Sus scrofa: one gene and its partners. The protein of the gene in region 2 interacts with the protein of the main gene of each other region in a pairwise test. Links are inferred from orthologs where the notes say so. Each region holds a gene or a part of one and is shown on either strand. Other genes may lie near its edges.

What was found.
Region 1: the proteins of HTT (region 2) and melanoma-associated antigen B18-like interact in binary tests that used the Homo sapiens proteins (3 or more experiments, as listed by UniProt). The link is inferred for Sus scrofa from reciprocal best matches to the Homo sapiens genes HTT and MAGEB18.
Region 3: the proteins of HTT (region 2) and DNM2 interact in binary tests that used the Homo sapiens proteins (3 or more experiments, as listed by UniProt). The link is inferred for Sus scrofa from reciprocal best matches to the Homo sapiens genes HTT and DNM2.
Region 4: the proteins of HTT (region 2) and UBAC1 interact in binary tests that used the Homo sapiens proteins (3 or more experiments, as listed by UniProt). The link is inferred for Sus scrofa from reciprocal best matches to the Homo sapiens genes HTT and UBAC1.
Region 5: the proteins of HTT (region 2) and DNAJC4 interact in binary tests that used the Homo sapiens proteins (3 or more experiments, as listed by UniProt). The link is inferred for Sus scrofa from reciprocal best matches to the Homo sapiens genes HTT and DNAJC4.
Region 6: the proteins of HTT (region 2) and PDK2 interact in binary tests that used the Homo sapiens proteins (3 or more experiments, as listed by UniProt). The link is inferred for Sus scrofa from reciprocal best matches to the Homo sapiens genes HTT and PDK2.
Region 7: the proteins of HTT (region 2) and EVL interact in binary tests that used the Homo sapiens proteins (3 or more experiments, as listed by UniProt). The link is inferred for Sus scrofa from reciprocal best matches to the Homo sapiens genes HTT and EVL.

Annotation. Positions count from the first base shown.
Region 1 is NC_010461.5:22,081,549-22,084,540, reverse strand, and holds melanoma-associated antigen B18-like, read right to left. Parts: upstream 1,625-2,992; 5' UTR 1,530-1,624; coding exon 501-1,529; downstream 1-500. UniProt on the Homo sapiens protein: May enhance ubiquitin ligase activity of RING-type zinc finger-containing E3 ubiquitin-protein ligases. Proposed to act through recruitment and/or stabilization of the Ubl-conjugating enzyme (E2) at the E3:substrate complex.
Region 2 is NC_010450.4:1,808,302-1,812,567, reverse strand, and holds the start of HTT (huntingtin), read right to left. Parts: upstream 2,801-4,266; 5' UTR 2,657-2,800; coding exon 2,421-2,656; intron 1-2,420.
Region 3 is NC_010444.4:69,472,800-69,476,811, reverse strand, and holds the start of DNM2 (dynamin-2), read right to left. Parts: upstream 2,801-4,012; 5' UTR 2,568-2,800; coding exon 2,407-2,567; intron 1-2,406. UniProt on the Homo sapiens protein: Catalyzes the hydrolysis of GTP and utilizes this energy to mediate vesicle scission at plasma membrane during endocytosis and filament remodeling at many actin structures during organization of the actin cytoskeleton.
Region 4 is NW_018084833.1:1,667,334-1,669,856, reverse strand, and holds part of UBAC1 (ubiquitin-associated domain-containing protein 1), read right to left. Parts: intron 2,111-2,523; coding exon 1,894-2,110; intron 1-1,893.
Region 5 is NC_010444.4:7,878,109-7,882,041, forward strand, and holds the start of DNAJC4 (dnaJ homolog subfamily C member 4), read right to left. Parts: upstream 2,801-3,933; 5' UTR 2,764-2,800; coding exon 2,420-2,763; intron 2,391-2,419; exon of another isoform or gene 2,283-2,390; intron 2,095-2,282; coding exon 2,002-2,094; intron 1,089-2,001; coding exon 995-1,088; intron 517-994; coding exon 332-516; intron 248-331; coding exon 86-247; intron 1-85. Other genes in the region: NUDT22 (nucleoside diphosphate-linked moiety X motif 22), read right to left, coding at 3,230-3,506, 3,636-3,733.
Region 6 is NC_010454.4:26,273,365-26,277,361, reverse strand, and holds the start of PDK2 (pyruvate dehydrogenase kinase, isozyme 2), read right to left. Parts: upstream 2,801-3,997; 5' UTR 2,661-2,800; coding exon 2,543-2,660; intron 2,373-2,542; exon of another isoform or gene 1,285-2,372; coding exon of another isoform or gene 1,197-1,284; intron 710-1,196; coding exon 568-709; intron 1-567. UniProt on the Homo sapiens protein: Kinase that plays a key role in the regulation of glucose and fatty acid metabolism and homeostasis via phosphorylation of the pyruvate dehydrogenase subunits PDHA1 and PDHA2.
Region 7 is NC_010449.5:120,986,835-120,991,050, reverse strand, and holds the start of EVL (ena/VASP-like protein), read right to left. Parts: upstream 2,801-4,216; 5' UTR 2,667-2,800; coding exon 2,656-2,666; intron 1-2,655. UniProt on the Homo sapiens protein: Ena/VASP proteins are actin-associated proteins involved in a range of processes dependent on cytoskeleton remodeling and cell polarity such as axon guidance and lamellipodial and filopodial dynamics in migrating cells.

The DNA of each region.
Region 1 (2,992 bases), on a different chromosome or scaffold from region 2:
TAAATCTATTAAATTAAATCTAATAAATATGTAACTGAAATAATTAATAAATTTAGATTCTGCAATTATTTCTACCTTCTATTAAAGAAACAACATTTAAAATATAACCAAAGGAAAGAAAAAGTGACAGGAAGGAAGGGAGAGAAGGAGGGAGGGAGGAAAGAAAAAAGAAGGGACAAGAAAAGGAAGGCAAAAGATTAAACTATAAGTTTACCATAGAGAACAGAAACACAAAGATGATATACGCTGTGTTCTTTCCAGACCCACTGGTCATCCCCCACTTAAAATGTTACTGCTCTTTTTCCACAAGGAAAACAATATTTCTTAGATTTCATCATTCGAAATACAACCTAAAGAAAGAAAAAGAAAGGTAAAATTCCAAGTTAGCAATATATAACAGGAATACAACGATGATATACTTCTCAAGTCCCACCCTAGCCCTCCACCATTAGAACATTGCCACACCTTTTCAACCAAAAGTGAAGAACTGTCCTCGGACTTCACTTAGCATGGGAGAGGTTGCTGGCTGTGGCCCTGGAGCGCACACTGGCCATGGCCGCAAGTCGAGCCCTGGCTGCAGCTCTGGCTTGGGCTCTTTCTTCCTCATCTCTCAGAGCCTCTTCGTACCAGGATGGGAATGCACTGGGCACAGTATCATGAACCTTGGCTAAAAACTCCAGGACTTTCATCTTGCTGGTTTCAGCATGTGCCCTTGGGCCCCATAGGAACTCATATCGAGGAGGATCACTGTCAGGAACCTGACGGTACTCCAGGTACTTTAGCTGCACCAAATCTTCAGTGATAACCTTCTTGGGATCCCCATAGAGGAAGTGCTTCCTCTCAGCATATACACCCATCATATTCAGCACTTCCCAGATCTCCTCTTCAGGGGCACATTTGCCATTCATGAAGATCACACCCAGTACAATCATTAGAAGGCCAGTCTTGGGCATGTTCTCTTCTTCATTCATCGTTCCATCAAAGGTGAGGTCTAGTTTGCTGACAAGGGCATAGCAGTGCCTGGTAGGATCCACTTCCTTCAAATCAACACCAAAGGCCAGCTCCATGTGCTCAGAGGCTCTCTTGAGGATCTCATTGAAATGATATTTGTACTTTTTAATAACAAACTTCAGCATGTCTGCCTTCGTAATTGGCTCTTTTTTTTGATACTTTTGCAACAGGAACTGTACCAACAAAACCACCTTCTTGTTTAAAGGATCTCTGCGTGAGCCCTCAGTGCCCCTGGAGGATTTTGAGCTTTCCTCCTTTTGGCTGCTGGTACCTTCATCCGAATTGGTGCATGAAACAGCTGCACTAGCATCGGTGGTTCCCTGTGGCGCCTCAGGAGTGCTAGGTGTCTCAGCAGCAGATAAATTCTGAGGTCTGTCCTCAGTGAGAGCATGGACCAGGGACAGGGACTCTCCTGCTGCTGCGGCAGTAGCCTGAGCATCTTCCAGACCCTGGGTCTCAGCACGGGCCTGGCGGCGTTTCTCACGGGCTCGGAGCTTACTCTTCTGTCCTCGAGGCATGATGACTTTGGTCAGGGACAGTAGGCACAGTTGTTCAAGCAATTAGGTTTTTGGAGAGGTCGCCCTAGAAGACAGAGAAAGAAATGGTGTGCACAGCCTCAGCAGGGAGATTCTTCCACCTTGGCTGCCAAGAAAAGCTGCCTTTGCTGATTTTCTTAGGGGTACTGTTTTAGGAAACCACAAAACAAGGGTGGTGAGACTCTGTGGACCTCCTCTGATCTGCAGAGGCTTGTGATCTCAGTTCTAACCCAGTATACTAAACTTGGCTCCTGACCAGTCTTTTAACTCCTCCTGCTCTTGACTTGAGGCTGCCCCTTCAGACCAGGGCTTCTCACACCACAAATTCTCCCACTGAGAGTTGGGGAGGGGCATTGGGCCTAACAGCCCTGTTTGAGCCCCTTGGGGTTAAGGGTGGGGATGGAACATGTCAGAATATGGCGGGACTTTGCGAGGACACCTCAGTGCTGGGAGGAGTCTGTCCCTTCAGTTCAAACAAAGATTACTCACCTTGACATCAGTCCAATCCTGGAACTCCTCCCTCTGCTGATATGGGACCACACTCCTCAGACCTAGGCCTAAGTTTCCATGGCTGGTGTGGCAGAAATCAGGGTGAGCACTTCTTGCCACGCCCACCCCATCCTCCCAGCAGGAGTTATAGCAGGGGTGGGGTTATGGGGAGTTCTATCTCGGTTCTGGGAGACTGAGGAATCATGCAGAACTCTGGAAGGAGTTTTTCGTGACTCCTGACAGGGCCTGGGACTTCTTCCTCTCCTGAGATAAGTCAGCTGGCCTCTGACCAAGGTTCTCATTTCACTCAGAATCCCAGGTAGGAAGTAGGGGGGCACCTGAGTCTAATGGGACTGACAGTAGGGGCCCCTTTGTGGCCCCTTAATTTGGGGGGTTCCTCACTCAGTCTTCACTCAGTCCTCACTCAGTGTCTTACCTTGATGCCTTGTAGGTGCTGGGTTACTTCCTTGCTGATTCAGTGCGAAACCTATCAGGTAAGGCATAAGCCCGTAAATAATTTAAGAAGAATTGACATCTGTACAATATTCTACTCACCATAAATAAACATAATATTGTTCTATTTGAGTCTTCTTTTACCTTAGTGCATCAGTAATTTTTTTTTTTCTATTTGCTTCCATAAAGATCAAGTTTGTTAGTTCTCTTTTTAGGTGTATTTGGGATATCAATGCTATTTTGAATGGTGTTATTTTCTATTACATATTCTAATTAGTTATTTGTTTTGTGTGGAAAGAGTCTTGGTTTTGGTGTGGTGATCTTCTGTACCAGCTTGCTTAAGTTCCTTATATATTTTAATATTTGGCAGCCAGTTTCTTTGGTGTTTTTAATTAGAATATCATCTTTCATTATTTATAATTTTTATTTTGGTAATGCTGTGTATTACTGTATGTTGGCCATGCAATCCAGTCCAGGTTTGAATAGTAGAGTTGGTACCATAC
Region 2 (4,266 bases):
GAAAAGAATGGGAGCTACTTTACTTACTTTTTGCAATTTTGGAATTTGTATCAAGTGACTGTGTTATTCATGCAAAAAAAAATCAGGTTCCGTTTAAAATAAGTCAATCATACATTTCCTTACAATAAAACAGTGAAACAAAATCTACTTCATCAAGCTAGCTTAAGAAGGAAGTTCCCATCGTGGCGCAGCAGCAGAAAGTTGCTGTGGTGGCGCATCGGAAATGAATCCGACTAGGAACCATAAGGTTGCGGGCCTTGCTCAGTGGGTTAAGGATCTAGAGTTGCCATGAGCTGTGGTATAGTTCCCAGAGGTGGCTCGGATCCTGCATTGCTGTGGTTTAGGCTCCCAGCTGTAGCTCTGATTGGACCCCTAGCGTGGGAACTTCCATGTGCTGCAGGTGCAGCCCCAAAAAGCAAAATAAATAAAAAATTTTTAAAATTTAGGCATTCCTGTCGTGGCTCAGTGGTTAATGAATTCAATGAGGAACCATGAGGTTTCGGGTTCGATCCCTGGCCTCATTCAGTGGGTTAAGGATCTGGTGTTGCTGTGGCTGTGGTTGTAGGTCGGCGGCAACAGCTCTGATTAGACCCCTAGCCTGAGAACCTCCATATGCTGCAGGAGCGGCCCTAGAAAAGACAAAAAGACAAATAATAATAATTATAAATTTTAAAACAATTTTTTATTTTAAAAATTTAAAAAAGGAAACCTCTTTACACCCGTATTTTGAAGAAGATAAGCAAATTCAGGTTCTGTCAAATCAGCATAAGAAGCAGAAGGCATATTTTTAGGCTGACCAAGTGATTGCACGAGCAGACAGGGACAGCAGTAGAACCTCCTCCCTACACAGAGCCCCACTAGTGCTTCCCCTGTTTATACAAGGTCCCAACCACGTGTTAACTTCATGACATCCACCTGCAGGAGATGCACTACCATGAAAGTCTGCGATGGGTTATGGTTATAAATTACTTGCTGCAGAGGTAAAGCAAACTGTTAAAAAATATTTTTTTCCCCTCTGAGTATTCAAAAGACCTTTTCTAGAAGAAAAAAATTATTTCTAAATTTTATTCTAACAGATAAGCCAAAATCACTCCTCGACTCTCATTTTCTAACGAAATCTCTGACACAGCAAGGATCCTATCAGAAACATAAAGAAGAAAAGAAGAAAACATTGCTAAGAGTGCATCAGCCTTAACAGAGTGAGCGCCTTAAAGGGGCTGCTTCTTGAAAGCCGTCCTCATGAAATGCCTTCCGTCCACCTTCGGCTCAGACACGAAGTGGCCCGAGGTGAAAGGCTGGCCTGCCGCGGAGCACGCCCCGGCCTCGGCTGAACCACTGGGCACACGGGACTCCAGGGGAAGGGCTTGGGTGCTCTCAGAAGGTGCTCTATGAAATGAAATGTTCGTTTTGGGGTTTTTTTTGCTATTTCTCTGGCCGCTCCCGCAGCATATGGAGGTTCCCAGGCTAGGGGTTCAATCGGAGCTGTAGCCACCGGCCTACACCAGAGCCACAGCAACGCGGGATCCGAACCGCGTCTGCAACCTACACCACAGCTCACGGCAACGCTGGATCGTTAACCCACTGAGCAAGGGCAGGCACCGAACCCGCAACCTCATGGTTCCTAGTCGGGTTCGTTAACCACTGCGCCACGACGGGAGCTCCTGAAATGTTCTTTTTCTGTCTCAAAAATTCTCCCTGGCACAAGCAAGAGACCCCTACTTCCCAACAGCACCGGATGTCAGCGACAGGCGACGCCTGCGGGGTCCCCGGACAGCCACGTTCCCGCACCGCATTCGCCCCCGGCAGTGAACCTCTCCCTCAGCAACACGTCCTTCTCGTTCCCACTGCACACAGGCACTGCACACAGTCAACTCGACCCAATACTCCAGGCAAATTTTAGTTTCTCCCTCGTGACTCATCACCACCTAAACAGCGCACCACGAACTTGGCCACCACAACCCGCTCAAGAGCCTGCAGACCAACGGGAGCGCAGACAAGCTCGGCTCTGGCCGACGCCGAACGCGCTGCGGCTCCGCCCGCGACCCCGCACTCGGGGGGATGCCCGGCGGCAGCGGGAACAGGCTGCTCCAGGGCCTCGGAAAGGACTCGCCATTGGGCCGCGCGCGCCGCCGCCCCCGCCCCGAGGCATGACGTCACCGCTCCCCCGCGGCGCTCCGGCTCGGGTCCCGCTCCTCGCGGCCGGCGGGGCAGGGACCGGAGCCGGCCTCGCTCCGCCAAGCGCTGCTCCCAACACGGCCCCGGCTCCGTCCCTAACCTCGCGGCCGGGACGCCCCGGTGCCTCCGGGGGGGGCCGGCGAGGCTCCGCGCCCTGCGGGGGGCCGAGACCCACGCAGGGCCGGGGAGGGGCTCGGGGTCGCCCCGTCGCCGCGGGCCGGGGTCTGCAGGGGGCCCGCACTCACGGTCGGTGCAGCGGCTCCTCGGCCACTGCCGGGCCGGGCGGCGGCGGCGGCGGGGGCGGGGGCGGCGGCGGCTGAGGCGGCGGCTGCGTCTGCGGTGGCGGCTGAGGAGGCTGAGGCGGCGGTGGCGGCGGCTGCTGTTGCTGCTGCTGCTGCTGCTGCTGCTGCTGCTGCTGCTGCTGCTGCTGGAAGGACTTGAGAGACTCGAAAGCTTTCATCAGCTTTTCCAGGGTCGCCATGGCGGCCTCTCGCCCCGCGGGGACAGCCCCCGAAGCCCTCGGGCCGCCTCGGGGCTCCGCTCAGCAGCGCGGCAATGAATGGGACTCGGGGCCGCAGGCGGGAGCGGAACCGAGGCGCCCGGCCATCTTGGGTCCGTCCCGGCAGCCCCCGCGGCCCTGCGTCCCCCGACGCTCCGCCGGCGGGGCGGGGCCGGACCGGCGGGATTGACAACCAAAGACGGCGGCCTCCGCCAATGACCGGACGAGGCTCCGGCCCGCCCCCCGTGCCCACCGCCTGGCTTCCTAGAGCCCCTGGGAGAGGGGGCGGGGCGCGACGGGGAGGGCGTGAGCGTCACGGCACGTCCGGGAAGGAGCCCCGCCCCCGGGAGGGAGCCCCGCCCGCGGGAAGGATTCTGGGGGATGGCCGGGAGGGTCAGCCCTGGGTGTGGAGCGGGGACCCCCGCGGGGCCGCTTGCCCATCCAGCGGCCGTGGAGGAGGGAAGGTCCTTGGGACAGCCCTGCAGAGGAGGAAGGGGGAAGTGGAGCTAGAAGACCCTCCGGGCGGGAGGCCAGGTGTGACCCCTCGGAGAGGAGCTGGGCCCTGGAAGGAGAGTCAGTAGCCCAAGGGGGAGCTGAAGGCTTCGGGGTAAAAAAAACCTGCCTGGTCAAGGCCCTGCTCCCCAGAGAGGCTGTGGCTGGTGCAGCGAGAAGCCGCTTTGACCCCGGAGATGCCCCCACAGGAGACTGCCCAGCCCACGGCTGTCCACTCCCAGGGCGGAGGCCGACCGGTGTGCAAAGGTCCGGTCTAGGGCTCCAGAGCCTCATCACCTGGAGGGGAGACAGTGGGCAAGCCAGGGGCAGCACGGAGCACACGGCCTCAGGAAAGCCCTCTGGGGCAAGCAGTAGGAAGCCTCCAGAAGTCTTCACCTGATTTCAGAGCCTGTTGTCCCAAAGCAGTCAGGTGAACAGAAACCCAGCATCCCCACAGGAAGCGTTGTCCCCAAGGGGACAGCAATGGGGGCCTCCCTTCAAGGGAAGGATCTCAGAGAAACGTGCTGCCAGCCTTGAGGTCCCTGTTCCCTGGTGTTAATAAAGGCCCTTGTTCACTGGCGAGGCTGCATGCCAGCCTTCATGCAGCACAGGCCACAGTGGCTGAACTCCAGGCTGTCAGGTACTGTGATTGGCAGACTTCTCAGATGGCCCAGTGACCCCCTCCTGCTGCTCACTGCCTTGAAGAAAGAGCCCCCTCCCTTGAGTGTGGGCTGTCACTGGTGGTTCGCTTGCGATTAAGTAAAATTTATATTTTAGGGTGGGGCCCAAAAATGGAAACATAAAGTTCTCTGTCATTTGGCCTCCTCCATCGCCCCCTCACGTGGAGGGTGTGTCTGCCTTACCCCGGGGCTGAAGATGGGCACGCCCGCTCGACTGTCACACTGGCATTCTCTCCCAGCTCTCCAGGGATCGTAATGACTCACTGCTCTCCTGGTACCTGTTTACCTGGGCTTTGTATCTTTGGTGACCTCTATGCAGAAGGTCTGGGTGGCATCGTGATGTGTGATCCTTAGTCTCAGAAATGTGCATGATCATGCCTTGGACTCCTCACAGGTGGATCAGCCCTCCGAGCTTCCGAG
Region 3 (4,012 bases), on a different chromosome or scaffold from region 2:
AATGTTCAAATGAAGTCCAGTGTGTAACTTATTAATTTTTTCTTTAAGGGCCGCACCTATGGCATATGGAGGTTTCCAGGCTATGAGTGGAGTCAGAGTTACAGCTGCTGGCCTACACCACAGCCACAGCAACACAGGATCCGAGTCGTGTCTGTGACCTACACCACAGCTCATGGCAACGCACCAGATCCTTAACCCAGTGAGTGAGGCCAGGGATCAAACCCACAATCTCATGGTTACTAGTCGGATTCGTTTCCGCTGCGCCACAACAGGAACTCCCCAGTGTCTAACTTTAGAGCACTTTCTTTTTTTTTTTTTTTCATTTTGGCTGCCCCGCAGCATATGGAGCTCCCAGGCCAGGGATTAGATCCGAGCTGCAGTGGAGACCTAAGCTGCAGCTGCAGCTATGCCAGAGCCTTTAACACACTGTGCCAGGTGGGGGATTGAACCCTTGTCCCATTGCTCCTAAGATGCCACCAATTCCACTGCGTCAGAGTGGGAGCTCCTAGAGCACTTTAATTCTAACTAGCTTTTGTTGTCAATATGAAAGGAATCAGCCTGGTGAATAATAACTCCATTCATACAGACCTACTGTGTGCCAGGCACCATGCTAAGTAAGCACTTTCAACACATCATGTAACTGCATCCTCGCAACTGTCTTGTTGAGGGTCCATCACCCCATTTTTAGGAGGGGCAGCTGAGGCTCAGAGAGGTAAAACAATCTGTGCAAGATCACAAGGCAAATGAAATGGACAGAGCTTTGCGGATGCCCACTGGAAGCCTGGGCAGGCCAGGCAGGAAGATGGCCAAGCAGGGGGCCCATAGCCCAGCCCAAGGCTCAGCCCAGGCCTGGTTGATCCCAAGTCCACGCCTTTCCGCCACAGTAGACAGAAGGCAGTTCGCCAGAGACAAAGCAGCAAAGGAGGAAATTCACGCTGCTGGGAGCAAAACCCCCAGGCCTCTGGGAAGGCAGGAGCAAAGCTGGGCTCCACTGAGCTCCTCCTGCCTGGTGGTCTTGGGTAAACAGGCTGTCTTCTGAGTGGAACAAGAAAGAACTTGGCTTGGGGCCTGTAGGATGAACGTTACCTCTTAACACTGATAACAACAATAATCACGATAATAATGACTATGATATTATCATTTGGCAGCCCCAGTCACAAATGGAGTCCTTCCTAGACAAATAGAGAAGTGGCCACCCATCTGGGAGGCAGAAGGGCAAGAAGTGGGGGAAGGGAGAGAGAAGAACCTAATTACATCCATTAGCTTCCTGAATCCTAGGAAACAGCCCACAGAATGGAATATGTCCACAGGACAGAGAGCCAAACTGAGACTTCTCAGAACTATCCAAAAAAGGCTGTATTCCAGATCTTGCCTGATCAGGTAAGAAGTTCCTTCCCAGGATCCAGGAAGGGCCCCCCACATTTGCAGGCTTTAGCTTGGGGGGCTGGCCCCTATGTTCTAGGGCCATGGAGGTACCCTGACATGGACCAGGAAAGAGTCCTGGAGAAAGATTCCCCCGAGGGTTCTACTTCCAATTGAGAGGAGTTCCAGTCTCACCCTTCAGCTCCCTTTCTCTCTGCATCCTCCACCACCCCCTGCCACAGTGGTGGGGTCAGACAGTCAGTCCGCTATGGCACAAACAGGCAGATTAGGAGAAGGTCAGATAGTAGGACAGACAGACAAAGGTTCCACTTGGAAAAGAGGAGCCAGCGTTCACCAGGCACTAAGCTTTAGAGTCAGCCCAGGAGAGCCAGGCAACAGGGTCCCCAAGGGTCAGCCAGCCAGTCAGACAGCAGAGGCCAGCTGGAGGTAACCCAAGAGAGGAAGAGATAAGTGTTAAAGTCTGTGAAGTGCACGGATGGGCAGCCGGACAGGACAGGTCATCCTAGATAGCTGGCCAGGCAGCAGGGGGCTGCTCTGCGGTACTGGACAGATGGACAGCCAAATGGTGGTGGTGGCAGAAGCCTATCCAGGACAGAGAGACAGCCAACGAGACGGCAGGAACTGCTCCAGATAAATGAACAGCCAGTCAGACCGCAGGGGTCGGCCCAATGGATATCTAAGTGACAGGTTTCGGACAGACAGGGAAGGGGAACCTGCCCCTGACACACAGGCAACCATATGGTAGAATTCACCCACTATAGCTGAGGACCAGAGAATCGGCAGAAATCCACCGCACCTTCTGGCCCTCGCCCATGAGATACCCCTTTAGCCTGGGCCGGCTCCCCACCTCCTGCAAGGAGCCCTCCGCCCAGGGCGTCCCACAGGGCCCGCCTCCCTGTCCCCGTCCCCGTCGCGGGCACGCAAGCGCCGCAGTTACGCCGGCGGCGCAGGGCGCGCCATTCCCGGTCCGCCCTCCGCGCCCTAGGCCGCCGCCCGCCCGCCGTCGCCGCCACGCTCGCTCACCGGCCCACGAAGTTCTCGAGCACTGAGCTCTTGCCGGCGCTCTGGCCGCCCACCACGGCAATCTGCGGCAGGTCCAGGTGGCAGCTCTGGCCGATGGAGCTGAAGGCATCCTGCAGCTTGTTGACCAGCGGGATCAGTTCTTCCATCCCGCGGTTGCCCATGGCGCCGGTGGCCCCGGCCCGAGCGCCCCGCGCTCCCCACCCGCCCCTGCCTTCAACGACGCGGCCCCGCGGCGTCCACGGCCGTTGCTCCCCGTCCGCCCGGGCCTCGGCGCGACGCCCGCTCCCGGCTCGGCCTCACGGTCGCCGCCTCATCCGGTTCTCAGGCGACACCCGACCCAAGCGACCTCCCGCCCGGGGCCCTGGGGCTGCGCCCAAAGCCCTCGCCCCACCCCCGGTTGGTCAGCCGCGCTGTCGCTCGTGCACCCAAGCCAGTGAAAGGGAGGCACGGACCTACAGCTGAATGAACCTTCCCCCCCGGGGACTTTCTCTCAGTCTCATTGGACGCGAGAACTGTCGCTATTGTAGAACAGCCAATAGCAGCGTGAAGCGAGTTGTTCAGGCCGGGAGGCGGTGTTTCGGAAAAAGGCATGTTAGCCCCGCCCATTGGGGGAGTTCCCGGATGGCAGGCCCATCCGCCAGTTTTATTGGCAGGGAGACCGGCCAGTCAACAAAATTGGCCAGTGATATTAAGGATCGATTCTTAAACACAGATCTGTCACTCGACTCTACCTAGTTCCCTAAAAATTTCCCATTGGTTTATATAAATATCACTCCGTTCCGTCAGCCAACAAATCAAGAGGGTGGGATTTAACCTCGAATCTTGACGCTAATTGGACGATGTATCTGTCCATCAAAGAATCACAAGCGCTTACTTGTGATTGTCGTAGGTCGGCTAGTCTTCTGAAGCAAAGAGTAGACCCAAAGTACTCGCCAACGTGCGCCACCTTGTGGACCCAGTGGTGATGGTCACGCCTGAGTTCCTCGGCTCTTAAAAAAAACTACAAGTCCCAGAATGCGTCTTGGCCGTGAGCTCACAAATCAGCTCCTTGCGCGGGGACCCAGTGCACTTTGAAGGTGAGAATCAGGCGATTAGTGGTTCCTAGGGAGAAGCAGGCTAGCTCGGCCTCGCTAGCTCCCACGCCTCCAGACCCTGGCGAATGCTGTGTCCTCCCGTAGGAATACCGTCTGATGACGCCTGTGTTGATGCAGCTGACGCTCCAACGTCGTTCCTCTGATTCTTCAACTTTAGCACATCTTGGATCTTTTTGAGTACTCAATGAAACTCAACGGAACTTCTCCCCAGAAAGTTCTCCCCTATTATTTTGCAGGCAACGCTGGGGATTCTGGGAACTGGGACTCTTGACCACTTGGAAGAGGCGGGGGAGTTCCGGCTGTGATACAGCGGGTTAAGGATCTGGCTTTGTCTCTGTGGCAGCGAGGGTTCGGTCCCTCAGCCGGCGCAGTGGGTTTAAATTCTGACGCTGTGGCAACTATGACGCTGTCGCTGGGATTCGATCCCTGGCCCGAGAATTTCCATGTGCTGACGGTGCAGCCAAAAAAAAAAGGAAGCCGGGAATAGATGGACTGACTTTAACAGAAGTGAT
Region 4 (2,523 bases), on a different chromosome or scaffold from region 2:
GCCTCTGCCACCTTCTGTCCTCGACCGCTCACAGTGGGGGCTGTGGGCGCTGCCAGCCCAGGGTCGGCGTGTGGACACCGCACAGCCCCGTGCTCTGACCTCACCCCCCTTTGGTGGACGTGTGCGGCCAGCCTGCAGGCCGCCTGACTGCTGCTCGGAGGGCCCAACACAGCCGCCGCCAGCTGCGGGCGGGGGCCGGGAAAGACGGCTCAGCGGGGCCAGACGGCACGCGGTGCGTCCGACGGTCGGTCAGGACTTTCTGCTTACAACCCCCCTCGTCTGCTTTCCCGAGCCATGGCCTCCCTCTGGGCGTCAAAGACCGCTGGGGTGAGAGCCCCACGCAGGAGGATTCTGACGCCCACGCTATAAAACCGCCGGCAGTTTACTTCTTTTTTGGCTGTGCCTGCGTCGTGTGACGTTCCGGGGCCAGGGATTGAACCAGCACCACAACAGAGACAACACCAGAACCTTAACCCGCTGAGCCACCAGGGAGCTCCGGGAATCTACTTCGAAATCCAAGGACAGGAGGGCCTGCCTGTTCGTCCCAATAAAAACCCTCCTCTCTCCTGACTCCTGTCTCGGCCCAGGACTGCTGGGGGCGAGAGCGGACGCTCCCCCACCCCTCTTCCCAGCCGTCCAGGAAAGACCCCCCGTGGGCTGCCACATGGGGCCCTGGCATCCGCAGGCTCTGCCCACAGCTGGCGAGGGGAGCATCTCAAGTCCAAGCCGTGCTCTCCCATCCGGTCTCCCCAGGATCTAAAGTCACATCTCAATCCCTGTGGACAGGGACAGGAACAAAAGCCCCTTCTCTCGAGCCTCTAAATCGGCAACCAGACGATGAACGGCCCAGCAGCCGCCCCATAAGGCACGCGGGTCCCCACAGGGCGAAGCGCAGAGCCCGGCCGAAGAGCAGTAGGCCCAGCCAGCAGCGGCTGCCCTTCCCAGGCTGGAGCCGAGCTTGGCCCCTAAGACAGCGAGACGATGAGAAACTTCCCTCTGGACCAAAGTAAACCAGCTACTTGTGAATGCAGAGCTGAACCCAGAGGAGGAGACTCCCAGAGGAACAAGAACTGCAGGCCCACAGAGGCTGTGCTGGGGGTGGGGGCCCCGCCCGGGCGTTATGGGGCGGACTGGGGCCTGAGGTCACACACAGCACGCAGGCCCTGGGGGCACGCAGAGCCTGACGCCGGGCCCCCCGAGAGGGGTCTGCACCCCTGGAGGAGGGCAGGGATGAGCCACAGGAAAACTGGCCCCTGGCCGGAGGTCCGGCTCAGCCCCACACAGGTGGGCTCTGACTCGCCCCCAGAGGGTGGCCTGCGGGGTGGGGGGTGGGGGCGCCCATGGAAACACGGCCCCCAGACGCCGCCCACGCTGGGATGCCGTGGCCGCGGAATCAAGAGGATGGACGAATCAGAGCCCTGCCAGCTGAAGCGGGTGGGCCTCCGATGGAAAACAACAGACCCTGCTCGAAGGAGGAAGCCATCCGAGAGGAAACTGAAATTCAAACCCCAGAGAAGAGGAGGGCGGGACGACGAGGCGGCAGAGGAGAGGTGGCGCTGAGCGGGCTCGCTCGGGCCCGCTGGCGGGGCACAGCCAGCGGCACGCGGACCTCGGGCCCTCGACTCGAGCCTGACCAGCCTCCCCGCCCAGCCGCTCGGCGCTGGGACACTCACTCGGAAGACAGACGGGAGCCTCGGAGCTTCCAGAAGGTGCCAGGCCTGTGGACTCCTGGTTCAGAGGAAGCGCAGCCCTCCACAGAAAGCGGGAGCCGCCTGCAGCCGCCGGCCCGTCTGCCCCTCTCCCCCGACCCCCGCGTGGCCTGCCGTTCTGCAGGGCCGGGCCGAGCCGCAGCCTCCGGGGAGAAGCAGCCGGGCCAGGGCCGTGGGCACCTACCCGAGCGTCGGCACGAAACTCCCTTTTCCTCCGGATCTTCTTGAAGATTTCCGTCAGCTCGTCCCGGGCCTCCTCGTCCCCCTCCTCCGCGCTGGGCCCGGCGCTGGGCCCCGCAGCGGCCGCCTCTCCCGGCGAGGCCGGGCCCGGCAGCGGCGTGTCTATGGTGGGGTCTTCCGCATGCTCGATGAGCCACTCCATGGCCTGAGGCACCGACATGCTGCGAGAGAAGACGGCCCTGCGGCACCGGCCGGCGCTGGGCACTGGGCTCTGCGCCCGCGGCGGGAGCCGCCCACCCTGGGGGAGAATCCCGGCCTGGGCTGCCTGCCAGGGAGGCGCGTCTGGGTCCGAAGCACACGGCCTGCCGACTGTGTCCTGGGGACAGGTGACCGGCTCGAGTGCTGAACAGAAATGGAGGGCACGGGCCTAAAGGCGGGGCCCGCAGGGGACCCCTGGGGAGCCGGCCGCACACGCGTCGGCCGCCACCAGACCTGGGCAAGAGCCCGGCAACACGTGCAGACGGAGCGACACACGTTCGCAGCAAGCGACTCGACCTCCGGCTGCCCCCCAACGCTGGGAGACGCCCCATCGGGTTATTCCTGGACAGGCGCCCGGGGAAGGGTCCAAACCCTC
Region 5 (3,933 bases), on a different chromosome or scaffold from region 2:
CCACAGGGACAGTGTGGGTGGATGCCTGACACTGGGCTTTGCCCACCCTCCTGCCCTCTGCCCATCAGCCCAGGGGGAAGCGCACCTGAAGGCAACATAGTGCAGGCACATGCCTGCCAGCATGATCAAGAGGCAGTACCCCAGCGTTCGCTGGTTGTGTTTCTGCTGCTGCCGCCTTGACTCTGGTCCCTGAGGCCTGACACCAGGAAACTGGGCCCAGTATCGTGCACTGGGGTCCTCCCAGGAGCTGTTGGGAGGGAGAAGGGAGAATGTAGGGAAGAGTCTCCTGGTGAGACTTGGCCGTGGCAAGCTGGGGGCAGGACTACTGTACCTGTGCGCCCGATGAGCAGACCTGGGATAGGCTGCGGTTCCTGGAGACTTTGGGGAAGTCGCTGAACGAAGCTGGTGGTCATAGCTACGGCGGCTCTCCTCACGGCTGAGCACTTGGTACGCTTCACTCAGCTCCACAAAGCGGCTGTGCAGGGCTGGGTTCCCGGGGTCCCGGTCAGGGTGCAGCTGGGGTGGGGTAGGACTCCCCTCATCTCCCTTTCCATGCCCCCTCCCAGGACCTATCCTGATCATGTCCACCCACCTGGGCTCATGTTATTCCTAAGGCCCTGCCTGGGCAGTGACCTTCACTCTCAGGGCTGCCTGTGCCTCCAGAAGAGTAGAGTCTAGAAGCAAAGACTCCTGCCCCCTCCCCTGTTGACACCCTCCACACCTGCTGCCTGGCTCTCACCATATACCCTGGTCCCAAGAACAGGCGGGTCAAGAGAACCAAGCCCAGACCATCAGACAGGACCCTTGGCTCCTGCTCCCAACCTTTCTTCCCCCCTGGCCAGATCCCTGCCCCTGGGGCACCTCCCATTCCCTGTGAAATCCTGAGGGAATATGCACAGCCAGAAGGAGCCTCTCAGCTCCATTCCTGAGAATTTGGAGCCTCCCCCATGTGGCTCACACGTTCTCCCCCCTCTCCATTTAAGACCACTGGTACCTCTTTGGACTTGGAGAAGAAAGCTCGTTTAACTTCTTCAGCACTGGCACCAGGATGCACCCCCAACAGTTCATAGTAGTTACTGGGGCCAGACCTGTGGAAAGAGGCCCAAACATGCAGGGGATGAGGAAAACACAGGATACCCCTTTCCTGCCCCTCCCAGCCCCTGTGGGCCACGCCCTTCAACTCAGCATCCAGGTGCCAGGGGGCTGAGGCAGGGGCCAAGGGAGATCTCTAAATCATCCCTCCCTCTTTGAGTGTTCCAGGTATGGACCACATCAGAATGTCTCAAAGTGTAGTCTTCGGACCCTTTGCATCAGAAACCCCTGAAAAGCATGTTTAAAAAATAGATTCTTGGAGTTCCTGTTGTGGCTCAGCTGATTAAGAACCCAAGTATTGTACGTGAGGATGCAGGTTCAATCCCTGGCCTTGCTCAGTGGGTCAAGGATCCGGCATTGCTGCAAGCTGAGGAACAGGTCGCAGATGCGGCTCGGATCTGGTGTTGCTGTGGCTGTGGTGTAGGCCCCATGTGCTGTAGCTCCCATTTATTTGACCCCTAGTCTAGGAAGAACCTCCCTATGCCGCAGCTGTGGCCCTAAAAAGAAAGAAGAAAAAAGTGGTTTGCTGAGTCCTCCTTCATTCCCGCCAATCAGAATCTCCAGAGCAGGGCCCAGGAATCTTCATTTTTGTGAGCTCCCCCCATCCCCAATCCCACCCCCGTGGGTTTTGTACAGGGGTGCTTGACAACCACCAGCGTGGTGGACAGCACATAGGGTTTGGCTCGGGATCAAATTCCAAATCTGCCACTTAACTCTATGGCCTTGGGGGTCATCCCTTAATCTCTGATCCTATGTCCTCAGCAATGAAGGTGAGGGTGACCGGAGACAAGGCTGTAAGGCGCCTGACCCAGAGTAAGAGATCACCACTATCCCAGAACCTAGTGTAGGGTCTAGAACTGGGCAAGCCCGCAGCAGAAACCTTCTGAATGACCCAGGCGCCCAACTCACCGCTGCCCGGCGGCCGCAGCGAAGGACCGGGTGGGAGGGTTGCGGGGCCACAGCCGGCACAGGCGCAGGGGCAGCATGGCGGCAGGCGGGCAGCTGGTGAAAGGAGGCCACAAAGAGGAGTGGGATGGGACCAGACTTCAACCACTGAGGAGGGGGTGGTGGGCAGAGGGAAGGGGCCCGATCCCGTTTAGACGCGAAGGAAAACTGAAGCGGCCCAGGGGACGCAGAGGGAAATGGAACCTCCTTGCTCTAGACCAGACCCGCCTGTCCCCGCCTCTGACCAGGGCGTCCGGGGCCTTTCTCCAGTCTTGTCTCAGGGTCTGGATAACCGGCCCCGGATGCAGCGACCCCTTCCCACCTGGGAGCCTGGGGGGGGTGCAGGAGGAGCCACACCAAACCCCGCCCCTGCTGCACTCACGGACTCCGCGGCCGTCGCCATTTCCTGCTCCCATTCAGGCCCGGCCTCCTCACTCTCATTGGCTTAGATGCTAAGGCCACGCCCACTCGTCTGAAGGTGAGGACGTGCGGCGAAGGCCCGCCCCCTCCCGCTGACTGGCTTTTGATGCCTCGGACCCACCCATAGAGGCGGGCTCCTGTGGTCTTGGCAGGAGGGCGCCAGCACCCACTTGGGAAGCCTGCCGACCGACCCTGACCCTCGACCCTGGACCCTAGGCCCGGCGCAGTTGCCTTGTCCCTCCCTCGGATATGCCTGTTACTCCGCTCTGCAGCGAGACGCGTTTCACAAAGCAGTTTCCACACCATAGTCGGCCTGGAACCTCATCAGAGCCTGGCAAGGGAGCAAGGCGCTCAGCTTCAGAGGGGTAAACCGAGGCTGGGCCTTACCACCCCACCCCCCACCCCAGGCCCTTCGCTTGTCTCTGTCGGCCACCTAGGGCTCTCCCAGCAGCCCCTCCCTGTCCCACGGAAACAGCAGATGGCAGTGGAATCCAAGAATAAAGTCCTTTATTGTCTTCCGAGCGGTGGTGACAGGGCTGGGGACTCAGGGCAACTCAGGTGGAGTTTCCCTGGACCCGACTGTAGAGGAAGATGGCGCCTTTGGCCGATGGGCAGAGCTGGGACCACATTTCAGTCTCCTGCAACCTCCGCACCTTCTGTGGGGAGACAGTGAGACCCAGACATCCGGACCTCAGGTTTCTTGCGGGAGCTGTGCCCACAGATTCTGAGCCTCGGAGCCCTCTAAGGAGACATGTCGAGGGGGCTGAACAGGTTAGTGGCCTCTCTCCTTGGGCTGGGGGAATCCTAGTGGGGCCTTGTGGCTCCGGAGGGAAGCCCTGAGAGATTCAGGAGCCCTCTCTGACCCAGCCCTGGGAGACAGACATGCATCACCAGGCTTCTGTAAGCCCTGAGCCCAGCTCTTTGTCCAAAGAAGACACACTTTGCCACTTCGAACCTGTGTCTCCACAAAGATAATTCCCGTGGATTCGTGGGCCTCAGGTCCCCCACTCATGTAGTGCTTCCTCACCTGCTCAGAAGACAGGCTGCACCTGGACAGGGACATGAGAGTGGCCTGGTGAGTGCTTAGCTCCTGGAGGGTCCCTCAGCTGCCTCAGCCATGCCCCTTAACCACCCACCTACCCCAGGACCCAGGACCCTGTCCCCCAGAGCTCACTCACTGGACGTAGAACTCGGCACTGGCACGGCCGGCACTGGTCTCATTGCGGGCGATGCCCAATAGCAGCGGCCGGCTCAGGGTGAGCAGCGGCAGGTTCACCTAGGATCAGGGAGACCACCTGTCAGTACCCACCGCCTGCTTCCCTGCTCCTCTCAGCATAGAAGAGTGTGTTACCCTTGGACAGCATTTTACAGTTTGTACTTCAAGTGCCCAGCATCACAGAATGTCAGATCTTGGGCATGCTCATGGGAAAATCAGAACCGGCGAGATTGAATGGTTTGCTCAGGGTCACCCAAGGG
Region 6 (3,997 bases), on a different chromosome or scaffold from region 2:
GCCACAACGGGAACTCCTGGACAGAGGTTTCGCCTGAACTTTACTGAGGATTTCTCTCTGCTATGGCTGCTCTGCAATAAACTTTGGTCTTTGCCCGTCCGAAGCTCTCTGGGGTTGGTATGGTGCCATCCCTGTGTCTATTTGCATGTTTTCCATCCTCCCAAATAGGCTGACTTGTGCGGATTACATAATTTGAAGATCTGCTTCTCCCTATTTCTGTTTCCCACCAAGGTGCCCCAGATGGGTATTACCCAACAGGTGCTATGTTTTCAGAACCGGGTTGGGGCCAAATGCTGACATTAGCCTGCTTTGGGGTTTGGGGCTGTGAAAAGGATCATTTCCTACGTGGATCCCATGCTTCCAGAGACTGTAGGGCGGAAGGTGGAGGGCTGTTCCCTAGACATGGAGGCTAGGAGCTTGGTCCTAGTCCCTGCTCTGGCCTAGGGAACTCCTGCCCTCTTGGAGCCCTGGTGCCTCCCCTCGGTCCCCATCTCTCTCAAGGCTGCGGTGGGCAGAGGGCATCTGGCAATGGAGCGGGAGGTGCAGGGACCTAGCCAGGGGTCTCACCAGCTCTGCACCAGCTGCACCGAGGGTGTGCTCAGCACCCGGTCGGGAAGCAGGTTGATCTCTTTCATGATGTTGGCCAGGCGCACTGGCAGCTCCTGCCTGAGGAAGGTGAACGAGGTTTTCTCACAGGCATTGCTGGATCCTGGTGGGAGAGGGAAGGGTGAGCCCCATAGAGTCATGAACCATGCACAGGAGCCAGGGGGTTTCTTGGGGGTCAGATCTCTAAAGCCTTCATTTCCTGAGGGTTCAGAAGAAGCCAAGGCACAGGACAAGGAGCCCCTCCTGACCTCTGCAGTGACCGCCACACCACCCAGCCTCATCCTTAGGGAGGCTGCATGCTCTCTCCACCTGCAGCTGAACCCAACCCCGGGGGACAGGGCCATCTGGGCTCACTGTGACCTCCATCCCAGCTTCTTCTCTTTCTTTCCCTCCCAGCAGACACACAACCCACTTTGAGGGGGGTGGATCCAAGTGGGCAGAGGAGCCTGGAAAATCTATCCCTACCTTGAGATGAGCACCCTCCCGCCCCTGGCTAAGGGGAGCTATGCTGGGACCACAGCAGCTGCAGGGTCCTGGTGTCACCTCTTTATGCCCATTGTAGGGCTGCCCCTACATTAATGCCCACCCACCTGTGAGGTGGACAAGGTTGAGAACCAGGGCCCAATACTTTGGTCTGGCTTCAAGATGAAGAGGTGGTGGAGGACTGGATGGGGCCATGGCCTAGAGTCAGGAGACCTGGGTTCTAAGTCCAGCTTCTGCTTCCAACTCTGTCACCCAAGGCACGTCACCATGCTTCTGAAGGTCTGCTTCCCCTGCTGTACCCCATCCTTCTGAAGGTCTGCTTCCCCCGCTGTACCCCGAGGGAACCAGACTCTACCCTGAGCCCTTCCCAGCTGTGACAGTTCTGTAACTGGGGTCCAGGCCGGGCTGGGCAGCTGCAGGGGGTTGAGAGGGGGCTCTGGAGGCTTTCCTACACGGGAGGAGCTCAGGCAGACAGGTCTTGGGGAACAGGTGCCCCGTGTCCTGACTGCCACCTTCCCCCGCCTGCCATCAGTGACGCAGCTGTAACCTGAGCCAGGCACTGTCTCTCCTCAACTCTTGAGAGAAGGGGCACCCCCCCTTCTAATCCCCAGCTGGCACCATGGAAACACGGTGGGAACAGACAGGGACCACACAATGCCTGTTTCAGTCACCACGTTGGCACAGCCTTGCTCTGGCTCCAGAGCCACCCCCAGAATGGTGGTGGTGGTGGGGGGTGTTAGGCCACCCTGGCACAAGAACCCAGGGGCAGCCAAGGGTGGGTACAAGGCACCCGACTGCACCTCACAGCGCCCCAGACCCCTGCCCAGCTGGAGACAGATGGCCAGGCCACAGCAGATTTGATCTTCAAGTGTCCTTGCCCACTGGGACAGCTGGAGGGCAGCTCCTTCAGTGGGCGGAGGTGTACTGGTCAGGGTGTCCCTCCTGTTGACTCATCTGAGAGAGCCCCTGCCCCCAACTGACCCCTCCACGTCTGCCCTGCACAGGTCTCCTTCCAGATGGCTGTGCCTCCCAGCCCTGCCTCCTTACAGCCACCAGCATCCCGGCCCATTTCTTCTCTGACCCTCACTCTTAGAATCGCCAGAACAACCCCAGGAACCCTTTCGTGCCTTCCAGCCCTAACATCACCGCCTCACTGCCCCTTCCTCACCAAGACCCCTCACAAAGCCCGAGAAGATACCTCCGATCCCTCCTCAGCGCCCCCACTTCCCACTGCCTAGTCTCTCCAGCCGGGGTGCCCTAACCCTTTTAAGGCCGGCTGCCTCCGGCCTCTCCGTTAACCCTCTCCTGCCTGGACCCCTGCAAGCCAACCCTTCCCGTCACTCGGTCTCTCTCAACCTCCGTGTTAACCCTTCACGGCCAGGACGCCTTCCTCCCCCCCAGCCCCCCCTCCCCCGCAGGTCCCGGTGGCCAGCCGCCTCCCGCCCCCTCGTACCGAAGTCCAGAAACTGCTTCATGGACAACGGGGACGGGGAGAACTTGCTGAAGTGCTCGATGTACTTGGGCGCCCCTGCCAGGGACGCATTCTTCAGTAGCGCGCGGACCCAGCGCATGGCAGCGGCGGCCGCGCCTCGGGCTCGGGCTCGGGCTCGGGCTCCGCACCCCGCGCGGGCAGCGTTGGCGCTCGGCTTGGCCCACTCGGGTCCCGCGCCGCCCAGGCCGCCTCCTCCCCACCACCGCCCTGGCGGGGCTCCGAGTCCGGCCAATCGGCTCGTCGCGGCGCCCCGACGTCGCCAATGGCCGCTCACAAACAACTTCCGGAGAGCCAATTGCCTCTCGCCCCGGCACGTGGCTGCCCCCTGGGCCCGCCCCCTTAACTCCGTGTTTGCCCGGAGCGGCCTGTTGTTTTCGGGAGGCCGGGCGGAGAGCCCGCCTCCCGGGTGTCACCCCGCCCTTCCTCCTCCCCGCCCATAGGGGTTAACCCCTCCCTTCCCAGAGGCTCGTTATTCCCATACCTATTCTACTCCTTCCTTTCCCCGCTCCCTCCTCAGACTCCTTCACGTCTCGTCTCTGAGATTGTTCCGGTAGCTGTCAGCGCACCCCATTTCCTCCCAAAGTGTCCCGATTCACCTATCTTGATTCCCATCTGCTCTCCCTTAGGGGGTCTAGTGGGTTCCCAATTCAGATGACAGTGACTCAGATTGAATGTTTGCTAACTTCGGGATCTGGATGCGAGCCCACGTCAGTCCCTCGTATCACAAAGATCCAAGCAGCTCATGAAAAGGCGGCATGTTGCTTTTCCAGTTAAAAAAGTCAGTCAACCTCCTAATTAACACCTGGAGGCGGCAGAGGCAACCCTTACCATCAGTGCTACAATGAAGTTTTCAAAAAACTTTTTTTTTTTTTTTTTGTCTTTTTAGGGCCGCACTAGCGGCACATGGAGATTCCCAGGCTAGGGGTCAAATCGGAGCTGTAGCTGCCGGCCTACGCCAGAGCCACAGCAACTCGGGATCCGAGCCGCGTCTGCGACCTACACCACAGCTCATGGCAACGCCGGACCCTTAACCCACTGAACGAGGCCAGGGATCGAACCTGCATCCTCATGGATGCTAGTAAGATTCGTTTCCGCTGAGCCACGAGGGAAACTCCCAAAACACTTTTATTTTTTTATTCTCTTCTCTTTGGACCTAAGAAAGCAACCTTTTTCGCTCTGAGCGTTCTTAGAGAAAGGTCCTGGGAGATGATTGGTGCTGGAGGCGGAGAGCCCGCCCTTCCTCAGCCAACCGGCTCTCTCGTGGGAACCCAGCGCGCGCCCTCTTGTGGTCGAGAGCGGTAAGTCCCTCGCTTCTCCCCCCACCCCCTTGAGGTGTTTTTCGCTGTTCAGTCGTGGGCTCACATTCACCAATGGCATAATAAATTTTAGGCTTTGTGCTGGGACAGGGAAAGAGAC
Region 7 (4,216 bases), on a different chromosome or scaffold from region 2:
CTGCCTCCTGACCTCTGAACTCACCGGCCGGGTCCCATCTCGGCTCGTCTAGTTGTCTTTTTGTCTTTTCGCGTCTCTGTTCCAACTCGCAGAAGGCGCGCCCTGCCCCAGGACAATTTCAGGACGCCTGTCTCGTCCCTCTTGGTTCCTCTTAAACTCACCCCTGTCCTTCGGAGTGCACCTGAGGTCCCACATCCCCCGAAGTCTTTCCTGACAGCCCCCCTTCTCGACTCGGGGTGCTCTTCATGTCTACACTCGCCATGGTCTATACTGCGTGGGACTCAGGACCCGCGGCCCTCTGTTTCCAGGAGTGCCGTCTTCCCGCTCGCTGCGGCTCCGAGCAGAGGCCTATCCAGCGCCGTGTAAGGGCGTCTGCGTTGGGGGACCCGCGCTCCCTCCTGGGTCTCCCTCCCGCCTCTGCCTGGGCTTCTTCCTCTGGGAAATGGGAACAGTAAACGCAACACTCGCTCCTTCAAGCACACGGAGAGGGTGCACCGTACGCGCTGGCGCTCAGAACGCAGTTCCTGGCGGATGGCTGGCCAGGATGGGCTGACGTGCTCTCAGGGCGCCGAGGCCTTTGGGGACCCTGAGGCCTTTGGGGACCCCGCTGGCTCAGGCGCCACGGCGACTGAGGAATCCAGCTGTTCCAGCTCAGCCGGGCAAGCATGTGCCCAAGCAAACGCTGCGGGCCTTACAGCGGCTGTGCAGGGCGGCTTCGCAGTGGCTGGACGGGGCCAACTCGCTCAAGACAAACGCTGCCTCGACGGCCCGACCTGGGTGCCCCAGAGCTGGACTAAAAAAAATCATTTTCAGATTTCAAAATTATCACCAGCAAAATACAATTTTTTTCCTCAAAGAAATATTGAGGACTGCTTAAAAAAGATAAAAGAGAGTAAATTTGGTTGAAGTGGCGGGTGCGATGCCTAAGGCACCACTAACCTACACAGTCCACGCTGGATGGGCTCTCAGCTGCTTTCAATATGGAAACGCCTAGGATTTCTATACCTTTTCTTTTTTCTTTTTTGTCTTTCTTGTCTTTTTAGGGCCGTACCCGTGGCATACGGAGGTTCCCAGGCCAGGGGTCGAATCGGAGCTGTAGCCGACCGCCTACTCCAGAGCCACAGCAACGTGGGATCCAAGCTGCGTATGCAACCTATACCACAGATCACGGCAACACCAGATCCTTAACCCACTGAGCGAGGCCAGGGATCGAACCCGTGTCCTCATGGATGCGAGTCGGGGTCGCCAACCACTGAGCCACAATGGGCTCTCCAAGATTTCCACACTTTTAATTCAAGGATTTTTGACACCTGCTTTGCTTCCTCCTCACTTACTTCTGACGGTATTTTCTGCAATGGCAGCTGACAGGATACACTGTGCTTTTCATGGTGTAACTTTCAGCTGAAGATGACTGGTTCCTGCCCACTTTGGAAGGTAACAGGCCTTTGAAATGGAAAGTCTTGTTTTCCACAGCTCCACCCACAAACCTTCTAAGGCTCAAGGAAAATGACTAAAATGATGGGAAACATGGCCGCAAGGGAGCAGGAACAGAGCCAACTGTAAACACAGCACCTGCCCTGGCTCTATGAGCGCTGGGCCTGGAGGCAGTGACTCCAGCACCTGGCCAAGGCTGCGCTCTGAGGCGGGAGCACTGCCCTCCCCAGAGCTCCCCCGCTGACCAGGAGCATGGCACCAGCCCTACTCCCCGCACCATCCACTTTCACAAGGCATTGCAAGGCACTCCCAGAGAGCCTGGCCCATGTCCTGGAAGCTTCTCCTCCTAAGCAACCCTGAGCAAGCGCCATGGCCCGTCAGAGGCCAGGCCTCCTCCTCCACAGGACACCAGTATCCCCTCCCTGAGCTGACCCACCCAACAAGGCTGGAAGCATCAGATAAGGGAATGGGTCAAACTGCAGTGTGGGAACTGGGAAGTAACTTTAAGGAGCAGGATGACAATTCTGTGCTAAGACGCAAAGCTGCAAGGAGTGGACCAGGCAAATGCCCCCGATTCCAGGGGATGAAAGCCTGCTCTGTGGCCCATTGTCTTTCATGGAGCTGCAGGGCAGGGAGAGGCATGTCTAAAACGCAATCTCACTTTTAGAAGTTACATGTGCAGGACGCAAACAGGCTGGTGCCCACATGCACGTGAAACCACAACAGTCTAAGTGACCGGTGGCCCAAAGTCAGCCACAGGTGTCTAAAGCAGACGTTTGGGGTCCTGCTGTTACGGCCCATGAAGTTTCCACTACAAAGCGTACCCCACTTCTTCCCTCCTGCCCAGTATTGAGAGAAAACCGCTCGAGTGTCTTCAGGCCATTCCCAGAGGAGAACCCAGGACCCATCGGAGCACCTCTGAGCCGAATGCCAACCCCCTCACATGGTTCAGAGCCCCCTCCGCCACCTGGACTTCTGAGGCGGCGCTTTCCAAACGCACACAAAGTGCCTAAAGACAACAGCCATCGAGGGACCCGGGCCGGTGTGGCGGCCAGACCCGCAGATGAGCGCGCGCGGGCTCCGCACGACCTGCGGTGTGACAGCTGGTCTCCCCATGCGTGCAACCTGCGGGTCTGGGAGGGTTTCCAGGGCCTTCGGCTCTCTGCTATCACGGCTCCAGGTCTCCTCCGGACGCCCCTGTCCCCTGGTCCCCATACTCACACGGTGGCCATGGCTGCGTGGCTGCGGCACGGAGCAGCGAGGCGGTGGGTCGTGGATCCCACTGGGCCCGCTGACCAGAGGGCCACGGACCCCGGGGAGGCAGCGACGTGACGCTGAGGCTCTGCTTAGAGCCAAACAGGAAAAGGAAGATGAACCAGAGACAAAGGGGAAACAAACGCCAGTTAAGAACTGAAACCGAGGTAGAAAATAGAGAAACGAGAGGCTCTCGTGGTGCAGGGCCCCCGCCCCCTCCCCGTGGGGCCGCGCCTGAGGCCTCAAGTTCCAGCACTTTCTGCAGACTGAGTGGGCTCTGGGAAAGGCGGGGGGCCCCCCGGCAGGAGAGCCGTCGGCCCTGTCCTCCCAGGGCCTTTGTGGAAGGGCCCCCTGGTCCAACCTGCAGAGCCCACAGACGACTCAATGCTTTTGACAGCCGGTTGAGGCTTCCCGTTTGACTCGGGAATAAATCCTGCCCTCCGGCTGGAAGACGGGTCTCACCACCCCCGGTGAGGTTTCTGTCAGCACCTCAGGGCTGGAAGGAAAATGTCTGAGGACCAACGGGAACGTGGGTTGGTCGCTGGCTCCACCGACCCCGGCCGGGCGGCTGCTTTCTCAGCTCTAAGGTGGGGCTGCGGATGCTCAGTCTGTGAACCCTCGCCCGGCGCTCGGGCGCATCCGCTCCACTCGCGAGCTTCCGTGCAGAGCTCACAGAGACCCCACAAAGTGTCATGCATTGTACTAGAAATGAGAGACAAAACAGTGCCAGCAACAGCAGCACTTGTCCTTAAAGGGCTCTTAAGGTTTAGAAAGGAAGGGACCGATAGGTGAGCAGAGGGGTGCGTCCAACAGTTGCTACTGCTATCGAGGCAAATATACCGAGCACAGGGCAAGAGAAAGATCGGTCCTAACCAGAGGGCTGGAAGCACTGAATGCCGAACATCCCTTTTCAAAGGGTTTCAGAGACACACCTCCTTTGGCACCGCTTTAGGTGCCAGTCAAACTTTGACACACTGTGGTTTTCATTTTCTCTTAATTCAAGATATTTTCTATTTCCCTCTGCGTTTTCTTCTTCTTTTTTTTTGGCCGCACCCGAGACATATGGAAGTTCCCAGGCTTGGGAATGCATCTGGGCTGCAATGCCACCTGGGCCACAGCTGAGGCAATGCTGGATCTTTAACCCTGTGTGCCACAGCAGGAACTCCTGGTTTCTTCTTTTACCCACGGATTACTTAGAAGTGCTTTAATTGCGAAAGAGTCATTGTTATCCTTCCTCTGCTGTTTATTTCTGAAACATACTTAGTCTAAGTCTTTTGTTTTCCTGGTATGGCTGCAGTCCTGTTAAATGTAGGGAGACCTGCCGGATGGCCCAGCAGGAGGTCTATCTTGGTGAAAAGAAGGCGTGTTCTGAAACTGGGTGCAGGGTCCAAAACGTCAATTAGGTCAAGGTGGTTAATAGTGTGTTTGAGATCTTCTTACGTCTTTACTGGTTTGCTGTTGGTTTATTTTTATCTCATTGTTCTATCAACAGTTGAGACTAAGGTATTAAAATCTCAAACCACAACAG